Lepisosteus oculatus: one gene and its partner. The protein of the gene in region 1 interacts with the protein of each later gene in a pairwise test. Links are inferred from orthologs where the notes say so. Each region holds a gene or a part of one and is shown on either strand. Other genes may lie near its edges. The genes, in order: ush1c and pre-mRNA splicing regulator USH1G.

The links.
Region 2: the proteins of ush1c (region 1) and pre-mRNA splicing regulator USH1G interact in binary tests that used the Homo sapiens proteins (3 or more experiments, as listed by UniProt). The link is inferred for Lepisosteus oculatus from reciprocal best matches to the Homo sapiens genes USH1C and USH1G.

What each region holds. Positions count from the first base shown.
Region 1 is NC_090716.1:12,309,397-12,317,921, reverse strand, and holds the start of ush1c (harmonin), read right to left. Parts: upstream 3,886-8,525; 5' UTR 3,775-3,885; coding exon 3,697-3,774; intron 3,521-3,696; coding exon 3,453-3,520; intron 1,478-3,452; coding exon 1,334-1,477; intron 704-1,333; coding exon 565-703; intron 1-564. UniProt on the Homo sapiens protein: Anchoring/scaffolding protein that is a part of the functional network formed by USH1C, USH1G, CDH23 and MYO7A that mediates mechanotransduction in cochlear hair cells. Required for normal development and maintenance of cochlear hair cell bundles.
Region 2 is NC_090704.1:43,171,626-43,180,194, reverse strand, and holds the start of pre-mRNA splicing regulator USH1G, read right to left. Parts: upstream 3,429-8,569; 5' UTR 3,125-3,428; coding exon 2,961-3,124; intron 2,823-2,960; exon of another isoform or gene 2,039-2,822; intron 1,328-2,038; exon of another isoform or gene 1,239-1,327; intron 1-1,238. Other genes in the region: proton channel OTOP2, read left to right, coding at 7,085-7,175, 7,285-7,680. UniProt on the Homo sapiens protein: Plays a role in pre-mRNA splicing by regulating the release and transfer of U4/U6.U5 tri-small nuclear ribonucleoprotein (tri-snRNP) complexes from their assembly site in Cajal bodies to nuclear speckles, thereby contributing to the assembly of the pre-catalytic spliceosome on target pre-mRNAs.

The DNA of each region.
Region 1 (8,525 bases):
ATAAGTGTAATGTTCATTTTTATGCAGTATAACTTTGAGATATATTCTTCTCAAAGACATTTTTTATTTTATTTCTAAACATCAAAACATGTAACCAATGAACTGCTGCAAGGATAATGATATTGTTGAAAGACGAATAAAAAGTATGAAATTTTCCAGTATAATGCTCAAAAGTTTGCTGTTTTTAAATGGCCAAAGTTACATTCAGCATTTAATTTGTTTTTTCTTTAAGAAAATGTTTTTTTCCTTATTATTCGTGAAAATAATCAACTTGGTGCACATTCCCGAACCTCCGTAACAATTCATTAATACACGTCACATTTTAGGGTTGTTTTTAACCAATCAAACATTCTTTGGATTCACCATGGATCCATTATCAGAAAGATGATGAAGGCTGTGGTCAGCCTGAACCTATCCTGGCAGGGTGCAAGACAGGAGTTTGCTGCATACAGTACCTCAAATGTCCTAAGAGCTTTAGGTCATATGATGGATATTTACTGTATGTACTGTATGTGTAGTGTCCGCCATTATTCCCAGCACACGCATGCAAGTGAGATTCCTTACCTGCAGGCCCACGTTGTCAGCTTGTCCATCCTTGACTATTTGTGAAATGAAAAGCCCACAGTTAAACTCCAATCCTCCACGGACACTCAGTCCCAGTCCCTCAGGATGGGTTCTGTCCAAGCGGACTTCTTTCAGCTTCCTACATTTCCAGTGTGAAAAAGTGGCGCATTCAAGTGACAAACAGAAACACTGGGTTTCCTTTTCCAATCACAATAAGGTAATACTATTAAAACAAACACTTACACTGGAAAGGCCATATAGAACATGTGTACCTGTTTTAATTCTTTCTTATCAGCTGTGATTTACAAGCTTGCATTGTTTGCATTTTAAACCTAATAATGTACTATACAGTACATTCAAAATATAGCTGCCTTTCAACTTTTCAACTTAGTCAGTTGTTTTCTCTTTTGCTAACACAGAAATACTTTCTTCTTTCAGGAGTAATCCTATCCATTTCACTGTATAATGTTAAAGTAAACAGATACAGTTGCTTATGTTATTTTTATATGTTCATTAAATTGTGTTTCTTTTGCTTACAAATAGAATCTCATGGGCCAGTTTCTTTTTCAACCTCAATCACAAAAACTCTGTCTCACTGCTAAACTCATTCCATTACATTTAGATGTGGATCAGTGAATCTGAAAACCAGCAATTCAGTTAAAATGGGATTATATATCAAACTCTTTTTTTTTCTTTTCTACATTTCTTCCAAGCTTGGCCCATCTGTTTTACAGCATCGTTACATGGGCATCTGCAGAAGCCTGCTCACCTTGACCGTTTAGGGGTGAGCTGGTCATACTCCACCTGGTGCTTCAGGGGGATGAGAGGTCGAATGGAGTCAAAAAGAGGCAGGCGGCTTGGCTCACTAATGACCAGCTTTAGATCACCAACCAAGACAGGGAGGTCCATAGATCTGGGAAAGAAAAGATGAAGGGCTACCAGAACAAAGAGCTTTAACATCAGCCCAGCAATGGCAGGGGTACAGCTGTATATCTCGAGCTCAACAATAAATGTCTCCTTTTGACAACTTACTCTGTGTCAAACAGCCTTTAAGGCTCGAGGCCTGAGAACACTGATGAAATAGAACATTTAGAAAATGTGAGAAATTATGAATTAAAATACTCCCTGGAACCATCCGAATGACTAAACGTGGTTGATTTATTCAATCAGACAAGCCAGCTGAGAACAAATTCTCATTTACCACAGCAACCTTGAGAGCATGCATTTATACAGCAGCTTTTTTACTGGAGCAATCTGAGTCAAGCACTAGTTCAAGGATACCATCGCAGTAACCCCCTGACACACCTACCCATTTCAGTCAATAGCCTTAATGACTCCTGCTCCTATCAAACGGTACAATACTGTGACATGTGATGTGTAATGTATATTGACTTTAACATTGAAACATCATGTACTGTACAATTAAAAATATATCTGCCACCCCGACTTTCAAGCAACGAGATAATGAAAATTATCTGAAAACCTCTTGGAAATGTTTATACAATGGATAACCAAATCTACTTAAAAAACTTGTTGCAATTAACACAAATAAATGTAAATGTAAAAAGCTGTTTTGCTCTGTGGTAGTTTCATAATATATTTTGGGACATCTCCGTGAGGTTGTCATTTTAAAAAAAATGTATATTATGCACTTTCTTATAACTAAGAGGCACTGTAACAAAATAATGCCTTCTGACACAATTAAGTATTAATTCTCCATTACTAAACAGGTCCTAAAAATTAAAATAGGTCAAAGGAAAATGACTGCACCATACCGACATCTACAGTATATCAAATCCAGTTAAGCAAAGATATTAAATGTGGAAAATTAGCTTATTAAAACAATGACAACAGTTCTAAAAGTGAAGAATACTTTTGGATAATAAAAAATCTCAGTGAACTTAAAATTGCCTGAATACATTAGCTCATGCTTAAATTAGTGCCTTATTTTCTGTAATACTGTATACTGTACACGATGACAACCACTGGATAGGAGGTACTTTGCAGATCTCTATAAATCATGTTATGGTTCACTTAAAAGTTCTCCACAGCTGCTGAGCATAAAGGTACCAGCAAGTTCCTGAAGCACTGTAGTAAACTATACCTCATAAAAACTGCTCTGGCATTGTATGACAGCTGTTTATGAATTTAGCAACCTGGTGGAGTCTTTAAATTATTAACCATAGCTATTTCATTTCTGACGCACAAGCAAAAGCGAATATGAATAGAGGTTCAATTGGACAGGGAGTGAAAGAGAACTGGATACATATCCAGTGAGAAACAAAACTGTTCCTCCTTACAAAGATCACATGGAAACTTCTGCAACATCTACATTTCACTCCATTCAGCTGCTATTATTACACAACTCAGTGGAAACAATACCTCCCACTGCGGAATTCTTTTGTCAGTATTCCTCAGACAAATCTTGACAGAATATACCGTATAAGCACATCTGCTGAAGTTTAGTTATTAAAGTGTATGAAATCGATTCAGTCTTTTTAAATGCAAAATGTGCAGTGTGGATAAGCAGAGTGTCTCACTGAAATCAAAAGATGAACTAACATTACTAAGCTATGCAGTAATGATAAAAGTACAATCATTTATACATAAAATAAACATTTTACTTGATGTGAGAAATGTTCTGCATTTCATAACATGCTGGGATTTTAAGAGACCTGCATTTCATGCATCACATTTAAATAACTTTCCTGTTTCCAGCACAAATGGAAAGAAAACTTATTATTCATGGGTAAAATATTAATAGTGTGATACAGTACTATAAGTCTACATTGAGAATATTAACAAAATATCTTAAAAATATTGTATAAATAGTAGTGGGTAAAATGGACAATATCAGAAGAAAATAGCCAAGAAAAAACAGGACTCACTGGTGGTACATCCGCAGCACATCGTAAAGGTAATCCTTTTCAGCTTCATTGTCAATAAGCAATTCCACCTACAAAGTAAAGCAACCACACAATGATAACATTGTTTTAACATGCTGATAATATACATATTCAGAACTGACTTGATGAACGTCTTTAGAGAGCATACAAAAGGATTTCAACAAAAATGAAAAACGGATCCCACATACGGCATTGCAGAAAGTCATGCGTTTATATAGTCCCTTACCTGGTAACGGCTGAACTGCTGGACAAATATTTTCAAAAACCTTTTCGGCCATTCATTAATGTAGCACATTCCTCCCATCCAGAATCAGTGTAGCTGCTTGTGTAAAGTGATCACTGGCTCAAGAGCAGTGCTACAGTTATCCAGAGGGTATTGTTGTCTACAATAAGTTCCCGGGGCAGATCGCTTTCTCTGCTCAGCCTGCAGCCTTCATCTGGCTCAGTACTAGTAGCCACTTCTATGCGTGGTAATGGGAGGTTCAGCTGGAGCAGTGTCACTTTACAACACATTCAACTACAGCCTCCTTTCCACAGGCCCTGCAGTACAGTATATAAAGAGGCCTTTTCTCCCGACTCTATTAGTAACCCAAAAAGGTCTGATTTCTGTCGCATTTGGAAATAAACTTTCCTTCAGATTAAGTTTGTTTTGATCAAAGAAACTGCTTTAATATGAATTTTAAGAATATCTAATATTATTCATTAAAATTATTAGGCGCTTTGTAGGTGATGCAATTCATGCACCGCTGAAAAGAAGCTTCTGCCTGGGACAGCAGATCCAGACAAGGAAAGAAAAATGTTGTCACCAAAGGGCTAAACTTTAAGAAGGCCAGATTGTGAAAGTCCAGAGTAGTCAGGACACTGGGGTTAATTAAAAAGCTCACTCATATAAACACTATCATGCAATCTGACCAAGTAAGCAGGGCCTTGGTTTAACGTCTCGTCTAAAAGATGAAACCACCTCCAACATTATCCCAGGTCATGAGGCACTGGTTTAGGCCAATCACAGGCTCTAGACTGTGGACAACCCTGCCACTCCAAAACACCCGGGTCTCTAACGGGAGAGTTCTCCATGCCATCAGTGATCAGCGTGACTCCACTCTGCTCCTGCCGGGATCTGATCACAACTGCTAGTGACCCAGAACCACACAGCCAGAGGAGACTTCTGCTCCTGTGGAGCTGTAGAATGCAGTGGACTTCAACACCAGGTCCTCTTCTGTCACAGAGTCTTACCCTGTCTAGCTTTCAGAAGGGGGTGATGTCACTTCTGTCACTGACTCAGTGCATGAGCCCTGTTACACCAGCACAGACTGACAGCACTGTGACTGGAGTTGGTACTCTGGTATCTGTGATGGTGGTGTCCTGACAACTACCCCTTTCTCTTTGTAACTTTACAAATTACAGACAGATGCAACTTTGTCCGCTTTGGGACAGCTCATCAAGAAGTAACACTAATAGACCCTATTGTCAACAACAGCTACTGCCCTACCTGCCTTTCTTTAAGCTTCCTCATGCAAGCATAAATAATATTCCTCCCATGATATTTAAAAACCTTTTCAACACATTTTCAAGGTGCATGTTCAGTCAGTGTTAGAGCCCCTTCCTTTCTGAGAATACAGTCTTGCAGCATTGCAAAGTACAAAAGTGGATTGCAAATATTCCTAACTGAATCATCTGCAGCACACAATGCACTGTGTCTAAATTTAGATTTCAACCTGAGTTGTATTAAAATGGAGCCTTTACTATGTAATTAAAGATGATGTGTGCAAAATGGCAGCTATACCGCTGAGTAGGTAGAAACATTCATACGTCTCGTAACTCATTATTGCACAATTCATACCACCCCAAAGACTTTGATACTTGAAAGCCATAAAACTTGCCATACTGATAGTGAAATACCAGCAAACTATGACGTAAAAAATGGACATTAAATAAACAGAAGCTAAAAATAAAAATTGAAAATAGCACTTAAGTACATATTCCAATTTGTGTTAAATAAGAGCACCAGAGAAGATTTAAAACGGCATATCTAAAAGTGACATTTTCTGTATATATTTAAAGTCTGTAAACACTGTTAAATGAGTGATATTGAACATAATGGCACAACATGTGAAAACAATTTACATTTTCATGTTAGTTCATCCTCACTATATGGGAACACGGTTGAAAGAGTTTAGCCACAGTAGTAGCAGCAAACACGTGAGATGGATCAAATGGCCTCCTCTGGTTTGTAATCTTCTCAGGTGAGATGACAGAAGAAGAGCGAGTTTAAACATCTTTGTAATCCTCTCCTTCAAGAAGGATTATTTCCCCTTTTTTGCAAATGAGCATAATGCGTAGCACAAAACAAAACAGTTTGGGAATATTTCCTCTTGAGTGCCATTTTTCAGAAAGTACAGCCTTCAGAAAAACCAGAAACGGCATTTCAAGCACAATCAGGAGTGACAAATTAGATAAAAGGTCAACCGAGCTCTGTTGATTCAAAGCCAAGTGTCCTTTATTATGCAGCGTTCTCCCCCTTTGATGTCATTCTAATTTAATCAACAGTAAATCAGCAAAGAATGTTTCTGCCTCACTGAACATATTTGGTAGCATCTATAAATTATGTGCTGAAGAGCACAGCTTTATGGGGTCGCAATTTAGCGACTAAGGCACAGTGAGTCTTTTTTATATGGAAGAACCTACCCCTACCCATGGTGCAACTTTCATATCATGTGGCGTGTCAGATATTTGATGTTTTTTTGTTCGTTTTTAACGTTATAAATTATGATCCTTAGCAACATGATGTTTTATAGACCATGTGTTGTACTGTATGTGTACAGATGCTACCAGTTAACTGTTTTCCACATCTGAGCATCTGGACTTGTGTATTATTTAGTGTTTTTGACAATAACTTTTAGAAATTCACATTGTAGCATCGTTCCTAAACCCAATCAATCACAGATGTAGGCCTAGAAACTGCGAGAGTTTATCACGTTTTCTGAAGTGCAGCCTACTGTATTGATTAGTATTTGCATAGTAATCCCATTCTTGCTCCTGTTTTGAAACACAATACTGTATCAAATGAACTATAATTTATAAATTCCGTCCAACAAAAAGCAAATTAAAAATAGTAAATACAAGTTATTTCGATACACTCCACTACACTCCATTAGCTGCGCTACACATTTTCTCAGCTAAGAGTAACAATTACCGCAACTGTTAGAATTCATAATAATAAAAACATTCAAGAAATAAAATAAATTAAGTAAGTAAATAAGTTAGTAAACGTACATAACTGCCACGTACAACGCCCTTCCCCCATGTACATGGTTAATTGATAGGGGTCAGAGTACATATAGTACATGTCTTTTGTCATCTTGGCGTTTTTTTTTTAAAAGACTGTTTTACATGTACTGTACATGTCTTGATACACACGTCTCATCCCAAGCCCCCGCGTTTCCTACCTTATGCCTGAATTCGCGAGCAACTTTTCGCTCCATGGTTGTGCGCAACACCGGGCTCCTGTCCGCGCTGCCGGCTCTGCCGAGCTCGTTAGTGCTGCTCCTCTGCGGCTGTCTGTCCGGCGCTGGGAGGAGCGGAGCGCTCAAGGCGCTTCCCTGTTCCTTTCAATACAAGGCTGGAAAGACGCAGGTACAGCTACCTGCTGCGCATAGACCGCTCCGGTGTGAATACCGGCCGGTCTCCTCGTACAAATACTCTCAACAAACCGCTTCCTTCCGTTTTGTAGTTTGTGTATACTGTATCCAGCATTTGTTTTTAAAAATCACTATATTTTAGGAATAAATACTTTCGGGGAAGAATGAATACTGTTTCACGAATGCGCTCTCCACTGGATTGACATCTCTTTCCGAACTGGTACAATATAATGTACCCGAGTTCTTACTACGCCCTATTAAGATACCTCTGGTCGACAATATTTCTGAAACATAATTAATTTGTGAATAAGAATTACAAATAAACGGTGAAAAAATATTTAACATGGCTTACGGTATTAATGTTAACGTAACAAGAATAAGGGGTTAACTACGATGATGATAGTTATCTATTTTATAAGCATACATTAATCTCTGAAATGAAGTCTTTTACTTTTAAACATGTATCCCTTCTGGAAATAAGTGCCCTATATATAGTATATATAGCTTTAACAAATAAACATTTTTTCAATGTGAAGGGAAACAGGTGAGTGTTAACTCAGATCTCCGCTAGGTGGCGACCTACTTACTTATTCAATCCCCTATTCCCAAACAGGTTTGTGTGGAATTGTGAAGGTATCTTAAAAATTTAACATCTCACCTTTTTGATTCAGTTTTGTTTTTGTAAAGTACAATGAACAGAAAAATCTCCTTTTGTTTTTTAACGGATTCGGATTTAAACTGTGAAAGTAGACCACAAGCTTGGTCTATAATAATTTTTCAAATGCATTTTAATTATTTTGTAGTTTACGTTTACACTTCTCAGTCTTAAAACAATCGAGGCACAAAACCTTCAAATGAAAAGGAGAATAAAAGTCAACTCTGGTATAACGGATAATTTAAGTCAAAACAGGAGAGGCTTAAATCAGACCGTTCTCTGGGCAAGGAGTCTGAACAGCAAGTAATATTCTATTTCCTCCGAAATGCGTTTTTAATAAGCTGTTTCAAGCAGAACTTAATGACTAAAGACGGACATACGCATTTTATACATTTTAAGACAGACTTCTGACATAGGTTAACATTACGGTAGTTTGCTCATTTGCATGGCCTCTGATACCTGCCTGAATAAATTATGTTAATTAGTGCCTGTCGTCATTCTTTAAGCAGGAGTAGGGATGCTCTCAGATCTGAAACAGAAGAGAAAGTCCACCTGAAAAACAAACTTCTACATTATCATAGAAAAATGTGTCTCCTTTACAGCTAAACTACTTTTTTTAATCTGGCTTTTCTTGGAGAAATTGATTCCATCAACACCTGGTGCATATGAAGCACGGATGGATTCTAAATTAAGTTTCACCATAAAACGAAACGTGTGTTTTTTATTATTTTATTGTATTCTACTGTACCAAGGTAAGTGGGC
Region 2 (8,569 bases), on another chromosome or scaffold:
CCCTCTCTCTGTCTGTCTCACGGGTACTGTTTCTGTATCTATAAAAAAAATCTACAAAAGCCTCCATATATCCATATATCACTAATGCCTAAAGATACCCCAAAATAGAAATACAATTACAAAAACAGTACAACACTGTTCTGTTTTGAAGAGGAACAATATTGGACTTTAAGTGATCCATAAATCACTTAGACCAGGAAGCCAAAAATGTGAAATTGTAAGATGTACTCAAGCTAAGGTCCAGATTAAAACACTAAAAAATGAATTTTAAATTTTAAGCAAAAACCCTTACACTGAAGAATGATGTTGAAAAGATAAAAACACCATTACCACCTTTTGCTCAGGGATGACACGATTCACTTCTCTTCAGTCTGTGAATACATTTAATTTTCTGGGAGCCCTACATAACCTGACAAGTGTCTTAAAGAGCTGAACAATTTTCAACACAAAAAATAAGAAAACAAGCCATACGATATGCAGTACTTCACAAGAATGTACCCATTGGTGAAAACACCTGGTCACATGTTAAACTGTAGCACAGATCCACAAACTTAAATGAAATTATTCTTATTATTTAAGAACTGCTTACATATTATCAGAAGTAGGCCTCTTGGAAAAACGGACATGAAAAATATCCTAGTTATTCCCTGTCTGAGATCACTGTACACTTTACCTTTTTTCCTCTTATTAAAAAACACTGTTGCTTGTTGCTTGTGTAAGGTTGGTCTTAGTGCCTTAGTCCTTTCTGTGTGTGATCACCTAAGCATGACCTTTTCCAATCAGCATTTCTCAACACCTGTTCTCAGTTCACTGGGGAAAGTGTCATGGTGCAAGAAACCACTGGCACTCGTGCCAGTTGTTTCAAAGCCTGTTTCATGATGATGCCAGTATAGGTTTTGTTATAAAACTCAGAACTTTTTTGTTTTAGCTTTCTACTGATTTCTTACACAAAGGGAACTGTGCCCCAATACTGAGGGTGGACTTTTTGATCATTTTATTTTATAAGACCAAAACTTTAAATATCAACATGAGTCACTGCTTAACACAATGATTTCAGTACATAGTAATTGTTTTTGATGTGCCATTTAGCGAAGCCTAGGGTCAATCAGTCACAGTTTGCATACTTGTAGGTTTGTCAACTAGTGATGTCATCAATTATGGCAAGGTGCATTCTGAGGTCATCAACAGGGGATTATGACTTAATGACACACAAGTAATCTACAAGATGCAGATGGAAAGCTGGACGTCATTCATATGCTCAGATCTTAAAATTATCAAATGTAATCAAAAACGGCAGAGGGGATACTCTGATTGAGATGATGAGCAGGTAAAAAGAATGGTGCTTTTTTTTTCTTATGTGTTGGAAATGTACAATTTAGGCCAACAAGTAACTTTAAAAACAGGAAACAAACTTTTTTTGATCAGTTAAGCAAAGGTTAAAAAATATTATGCCAGTAGTAGGCAACTCTGTTTTCCAAATCTGCACAGAGCTAAGACTTACATACATAATTATCTAAAAAATTTTATATGAACAAATGAAGTATTTCACTGCTCAAGATGAAACTGTTCCTCATCTTTAAGAACTGATGAATCATGACTGACCTTTAAACTGACTGTGGCTCCTCAGGACTAAATACAGTTCTCCCTGTAACAAGTGATCACAATGACTGATGTAAAGTGTGGACAAAGCATTTGAGTGAACCCCCAGTTTAAGCTGACGAGACATGTCTCAATTGCATTTGCAAGGTGTAGATAAGACAAGGCAGAGGGTTGTTAGAAGACACCGTTACATGTTTTATGTATCATGTCAGACCATGTTAAAAGATTTCCATCTAAGAGAATATAATTTAGACTCTGTAATCTTAGTTGTGGATAGAGATGTTTTTTAAAAAATCTTTATTTTTGTTATCCTTTTTTCAAATTTTCTGGACAAGCAACTTAGAAAATAGGAAACATTTTTATCATTGTTACTACTACTACTACTACTACTAATAATAATAATAATAATAATAATAATAATAATAATAATAATATTCACCTCACGGTTTGCAGTTCTTGTTTATAAGACAATGGGATAGGTGTGGACTGACTGATTCTGCAAAGCAGAAGTCAAGACTCTGCCTCATCTCAAGTCGCAACCCTGTGGCGACACCCCCACAATGGGAGAGAGAACCATTCTCCGTGAATAACAACTAACAACAGGCACCCCTCAGATAGCGATCGGCTGTATTCTCCTGTTTCATATTTTCAGTTTCACTGGCACACTGCGGTGTCCGGACCCTTTATGCGCGTTACAACGAGTTGACCTAATTATGTAAACAGCATCATTCATTACACGACTTTTTTGCACGCCACATAAGTCAGCTTTATTCCAAGGCTCCCGGCTATCCTGAGCCCTTAAAACCTAAACGCTGCAGCACCACACAGTAACTCCCACAATCAATCAGTCAATTATAAGCCCATTTCAGGTCAGAGGTGATCATATGCACCTGCGCCTGGGGAGAAGCCAATTCACACTATTTTAAATATACTTTTAATGTAAAAGTAACTTATGAAATCATGCATATATTTGCAAATTCTATTTTGTGCAAGTAAAACAATACGTACACAGAAGAAAGCTTCTGGGTCCAACAGATCTGAAAACTAAAGCCATATTAGCCTCTTATATTTTAAAGTCCGCCACTCTTCACCTTATTTTATTAGGCAAAAGTAGTTTCACATCATTAAATGCGTGTCGTCCTGCAGGAACGATTTTGTTTGAAATTAAATGGCTCTTCAATGTAACACTCCACGAACAATGCAACCAGAACTTGCCAGATGGAGACCTGCATTTTAAAAAACCGAGCGGGTTGCCTTGCACGGTTCTGTTGATTATCCAATTAAATACCTGCGTGCAGTAGTTGCCACATATGAAACCCTGGAGAAGGACCGCGTTTTGAAACTTTATGCCTCCAACTCACCCTCTTCCCACTATGAGCCGCAGCGCCTCAAGGTTGCCGTGATAGGCGGCCCAGAGAGTGGGTGTCATTCCATCTTCGTCCGGAGCGTTAAGATCCTTCCTGGTGGCCTCTTTCAGTAAGTCCAAATAGCCGTCCCGGGCAGCTCTGTGGTATCTGTCAGTCATGATGCCAACCTGTCGTCTCCACCTTTACATCCAAGCATCGGGTAGCAGGAGCCGGGGGCAGCTAGCCCTCCATGCGGAAGGGGCAATCCGGCAGGAGGGTGGGGACAGCGGCTCCGTCTCTTTCTACCCGGGCTAGCTGCTAAAAGAGCGAAGCCTGTCCGGTTGCTACGGACACCTGAGCCGTTTGCGGAGCGGGGAGTGGTTTAAGGAAAGCATTACCCTTGCAGAGTCCCCTGGGTCCTAACAATAGAGACAGCCTCAAAGTATCATGAATGTCAAATGTATAAGGAGTTGAATTTGATCATATTTATATATTTATTAACTTATGTTTCAAACCCAATGTATAAAATAAAATATTTTAAATATAAAATGTTCGTAGAACTGTTAGTGGTTTTAAATATGTATGCATATTTAGCAATTAAAGTAGGAAGGTACAGTAATACATTTAAGCACTAATCTGAAATATGTAATTGAGATAAACAGGTGGCCAGTTTTACATTTTACTAGATGTCAGTCTTGTATATGTCTTCTTTTACTGATTTTACATAACTTCAAAATAATGTTTGCACAAAATCATTTAGCACTGATAATTTTGCATCGCAGGCACATCAACTAAGTGTATTTATAGATACTGTATACTAAATTTAAACTGTCATGTTGTAAAGTTTTATTAGTTTGTTTCAATTCACATTCACCGAAATGAAATAAATAATGAGACATTTTAATATGCCCCTACATATTATGCTCTGAGCAACTTATCCTTCTTGTTTTAGAAGTTTTCTTTATGGCACTCCATAAATAATTTATTATCTGTTTCTCCTTTCAACTGAGACCATTTCTCACAGTTAAAAATAACTAAGTTTGCTATCGCCAGCCCTGTGGAAAAAAAAAACTGTGTGTGATTTATATTTTATAATAATATTTATAGTACAGTTTCAAAGTCTTCTCTGGTGATTATGAATGCCTATGAGAGCTACTGGGAAGTTAAATAATTCCAGTGTAGTTCAGTGCATCCAATTACTATGCTGCTGTTCATTTGGCTGTGAAAACATTGATATCGTAAAATCCATATTAATATTCCTTTATTTCTGAAAGTACATGTTTTTACTTTTGTCCAAGCTGCTCAGAATGACTCATGCAGAAATCTGATGTAGGATTTACAATTCAGAAACATGAACATTATCTCTTAAATGAGAATCATTCAGTAAATTTCTGGAAAACAAAGACTTTACAGAGACCTAAATACATGGAATTATATTACTGCTATCAGGTGAACAAGCATACAATAACCAGAAGTGGCATGGCTATAAGACTGAGCACAACATCTTATACTTTTGGTGTCATCACAGCAGACGCAATGCCGACAAAACATTGAGTAATAATGTAACTTTGGAATCTTGTGCCCGTTAAGATCACAATCAATGCACTTCAACTGTAGCATGTACAAATACACGTTCTGATGTATTTTCCTTGGCTTTTCATTAAAAAAGTGTCCTGTTCCTCTCTTGAAAGAAAGACCTGCTCAAACAAAAGTATAGAAAAGGCCAAGGTTCATTGTAAGGCATCACAGAGGTCTGACAGAAGTATATAGCTGTTGAGAAAAACAGAAACATATTATCAGTTATGGGGGGACAACTTCATAGAGGATCTCATGTTCAGTTCTTCAGTGACAGAGAGTGGGTAGTTTTTGCCTAACTGCATGCTTTTATTATTATATCATTATCCTTATCCTTTAGAATCTAAATAAATGAACAGGCTCAAATGGCAATAAGTTATTGATGAGATATTTGATTTTTTTGCTTGTTGAATTGCAGAAATCTAAATTTACGATGTTCTGTTGAATGTCTTTATTTGGTAAATCAGTGACAGAAAAATAAATGACAGTAAATCACTGGGACAGGAGATGGGTATAAAGCTGATGACTGATTCTGGAGTTTCAACCTAAGAGGAACTCCACTAACCCATCAGGTAAGATCAGCCGCACTCTTCCTTGACTGGTGAATTCTGTTTCTGAATTTTGCTTTCTCTTCTTTTATGGGCTAATATTCCACTGATTGTGATGTCGGAAACAAACACTGGCAAATGCAAAATACTGTTGAAAAAGGATTGACCAGAAATCTGCAGCCTATATTCAGCCCTGCTCCTGAGGTCATTGAATGAGGTCTTCAATGACTGATGAAAGATCATGTTTATCTTGTCGGATTAAGGCCATTATTTTGTTCAGCAAAACAATTGGATTGAAAAGCAGAAGACTTCATTGTTCTCTGGAACCAGATTTAGAGAATCCTGCTGGGTAGCATGTGTATATTTTTTCCTTGCTACACTGGCCACATGAGCAACTACTCATTTGCTAATGTGAGTGTATTCGTATATACTAGCCAGATGGAAAAGAATGATCAAATTCTAATAGTTAAACAGAAAGTTACAGCAGACCAAAGAAAAACAGAGTGAGCCTTGCTGGGCGTTTGTTTGGCAGCCCAGCCTTTATCTTAAATATATACACTTTTTTATTCTCTCACCTCGGCTGGCAAAAATAAAAGCTCGAAAAAGAGTGCATTTACCTTGAACTGTGTTATCACCTCTTGTTAAAGGAAGCAGGTCAGATAGCAGGGCTCCAGATTAAGCAAGGGCTGTTTGGGTGTAACACTTTCATTCATATTTTAATTTGCCCATTTCTACGTATATATCAGTCAACGTTACTTCCTCCAAAAGTTCTGAAAAGGTAAATAGTGCCATATGGTTCGCAAATATGACGGTACCTCGCATCTGAGACAACTCACAGAGCTGCTATGTGTTTCTTTTCCTCGAGGACTAATTGGCTAATGGAGGTTTGTAAAGCATTACAAAATGCAGATTTTCTTTCTTTTAAGGTAGAAGTCACTGTGTCAGCTGATATTGCTAAACCTAGAACAAGATCTACCGAACCTTTAGCATATCTGCTTGAATGAGAACATGCTGCAGTATTCGTTTTTAGACTGACAACTTTCTTCGCTTAGGACTGTTGCGTGTTTCTTCCTTATCCTGCAGCGATTCTGTGTTGGGTACTCATAGAGGACATTTTAATATTTTCATTTGACTTCAACATGAGTGACTCTGGCCCTTCATGTTGAATTAACTTGCTGCTGACGCCTTCTCTTGGCCATATTCTATTTTAAATTGCGATTCCTTCTAGAATCTAAGGTCTGCCTACAAATGTGAGTAAGACGTCCTGCAGCCCCAGGTCTGTAGATTGCTGTACTTCTGTGGCTTTGAGCCGCCACCATCACCTGCTTTTAAAATGTTTTTTTTTCAAACAGTGATTTATGTGTTTTCTTTTCCATTTGTAATTTGTTCATGACTTTTGTATTGACTTTTGAAAGTGTTCTATAAATTAAAGGGTGTTCACTCCTTGCTCATTCAATTTGCTAAAGCTGCTTTGCAAATATTTGAATCAAATAAAATTATATTTGAATTTTGACTCACTCTATACGCCGTTATTATTCATAGAATTTTTACCTAGTACATTTACAGATTTATGTTTAATAAAATATTATTTATTGAATCTTTGGTTATCTAGGAACCGTTATCTAAGCTCTGTGGATCTCTTAATATAAAAATGTCAATAGAAACAATTATCGATATTTTCTCATGCACTGACATGATATCTAATAAAAAGCAGATGTGACTGTTAACTACTCATATGCAGTTATGCTTCTAAAAAGAAAAAATAGAAGCAGTCCTTTTTTTGGTTGTTAGTTCTGTGAAAAAAAATTGCATTAGAGATGATTTATAAATCATATACTGAACATATGTTTCACAGAGCATTACTCTTAAATGGAATTATGGAAACACTTTGGGCTCATGGTAAATTTATTTAGAATCAGCAGGACACTAAAATTCCAGCACGAGATAGGAAATGTTCGGAATGAGGAAGAGACATTAGCAGTCCTTAGCTGTTATCAAGCAAATGCATCACAGCAGATGAGGCTTGTGAGCTCATCCCCAGCTTCACTTGCTACAATGCCCCATCTTCAGAAAAATGCCAGCTACCAGCTGCTCTGGAAAAAAAACAGTAAGTTAACTCAGAAGAAGGTAATAAGTGAAGGATTTGGCTGTCTCACTTCAGGTAGTGGGCAGCCTGATTGTGACAGCATGCTGACACCATTTCTTCTTCCCCACAGACGTCTGCCGGAAGATGGAGGGAGAATTGAATGAAGGCAGCCCGTGTCCTAACACTATGGTGGCTGTGATGAGGGACCAGGCAGTGGTGGGGGATCCTCTGAGGTCGTCCAGCCTGCCAGAGAACCCCAGCAGTAGCCCCCCAAGAGAGAAAGGCCGGAACCGCGGAAGGCTGATCTCGTGCCTCATAACAGTCAACATCTTGTTCCTGGGCTGCGCGCTGGTCAGTGGGGGAGCCTTTAACGAGGTGGCCATCACACAGATCGATGTCCAGATCTACCTGACACTCCTCCTCCTCCTGAACACTAGCTGGATGATCTTCTATGTGGCATACACCTCACAGGTGGACAGTGCCATACTCTACAAGGACAGCCACGCTGGACCCATTTGGCTAAGAGGTGAGCCTCTCTTCGCTTTTGGGGTGCAGTTTGTTCTCCGAGGCTCAGTTCTGCTTCAGGGCGGTTGGTAAAATCGTAAGACTCAACTGACTGGTTATAAGAAAAGTACATCAGTTCAGAACTGTATCACCAGGAAATCAGATTAATTCATTACACTACTGTGAAGGTACAATGTAGTCCTTGTATATATTATCAGTAATAAATCCATTTTAAAACAGCACTTGAACGTGAAAGGTTTACAAAATGCAATATTTTCTTAGCCAATCTCTTGAGCTTTGAAGTGATGCAAAAAAATGTAACTGGTAATTTGGGATGAATAAGAATGCAAAGGAATTTGGGTTTGGTTATTCTGGATAATGGGATCACAGGCATAATTACAAAGTGAGTAAAAGGCTACAATAGTCAGGGTGGTAGTTCCAGTGCAGACAAAATACAGATTTTACATTCTTCATAACAAGACAAATGATTGAACTGGTCAATGGAGAGCTCTCAAAATCCACTAGAGTTCTTTTCATCGATGAGCCAGAGTTTAGAAATCTACAGTAGCCAGATTAGGGAGTTATGCATTGTCCATGCATCTACATTGATTCAAACAGTAGATGTATCATCTTTTACACCATATTTTTATGTTTTAAACGTAAAATTCAGGAGTACAGAAAATATGTACAAATTAATTTGGTATCTTGCATCTACATGAGTATGTTGTTTGGATGTGTATTTTATAGTAAGTATATATTCAATAAATGTGATAACTCCAGTATATTATTTGAATTATATACTCTATATAGTGTTTTGCTGCTGTTTAGTAAAAGCATGAATATGGGTTATGAGTTCAGAATTATACATGCATGAATACAACATTTTTCCAGTTTGAAAATATAATTACAAA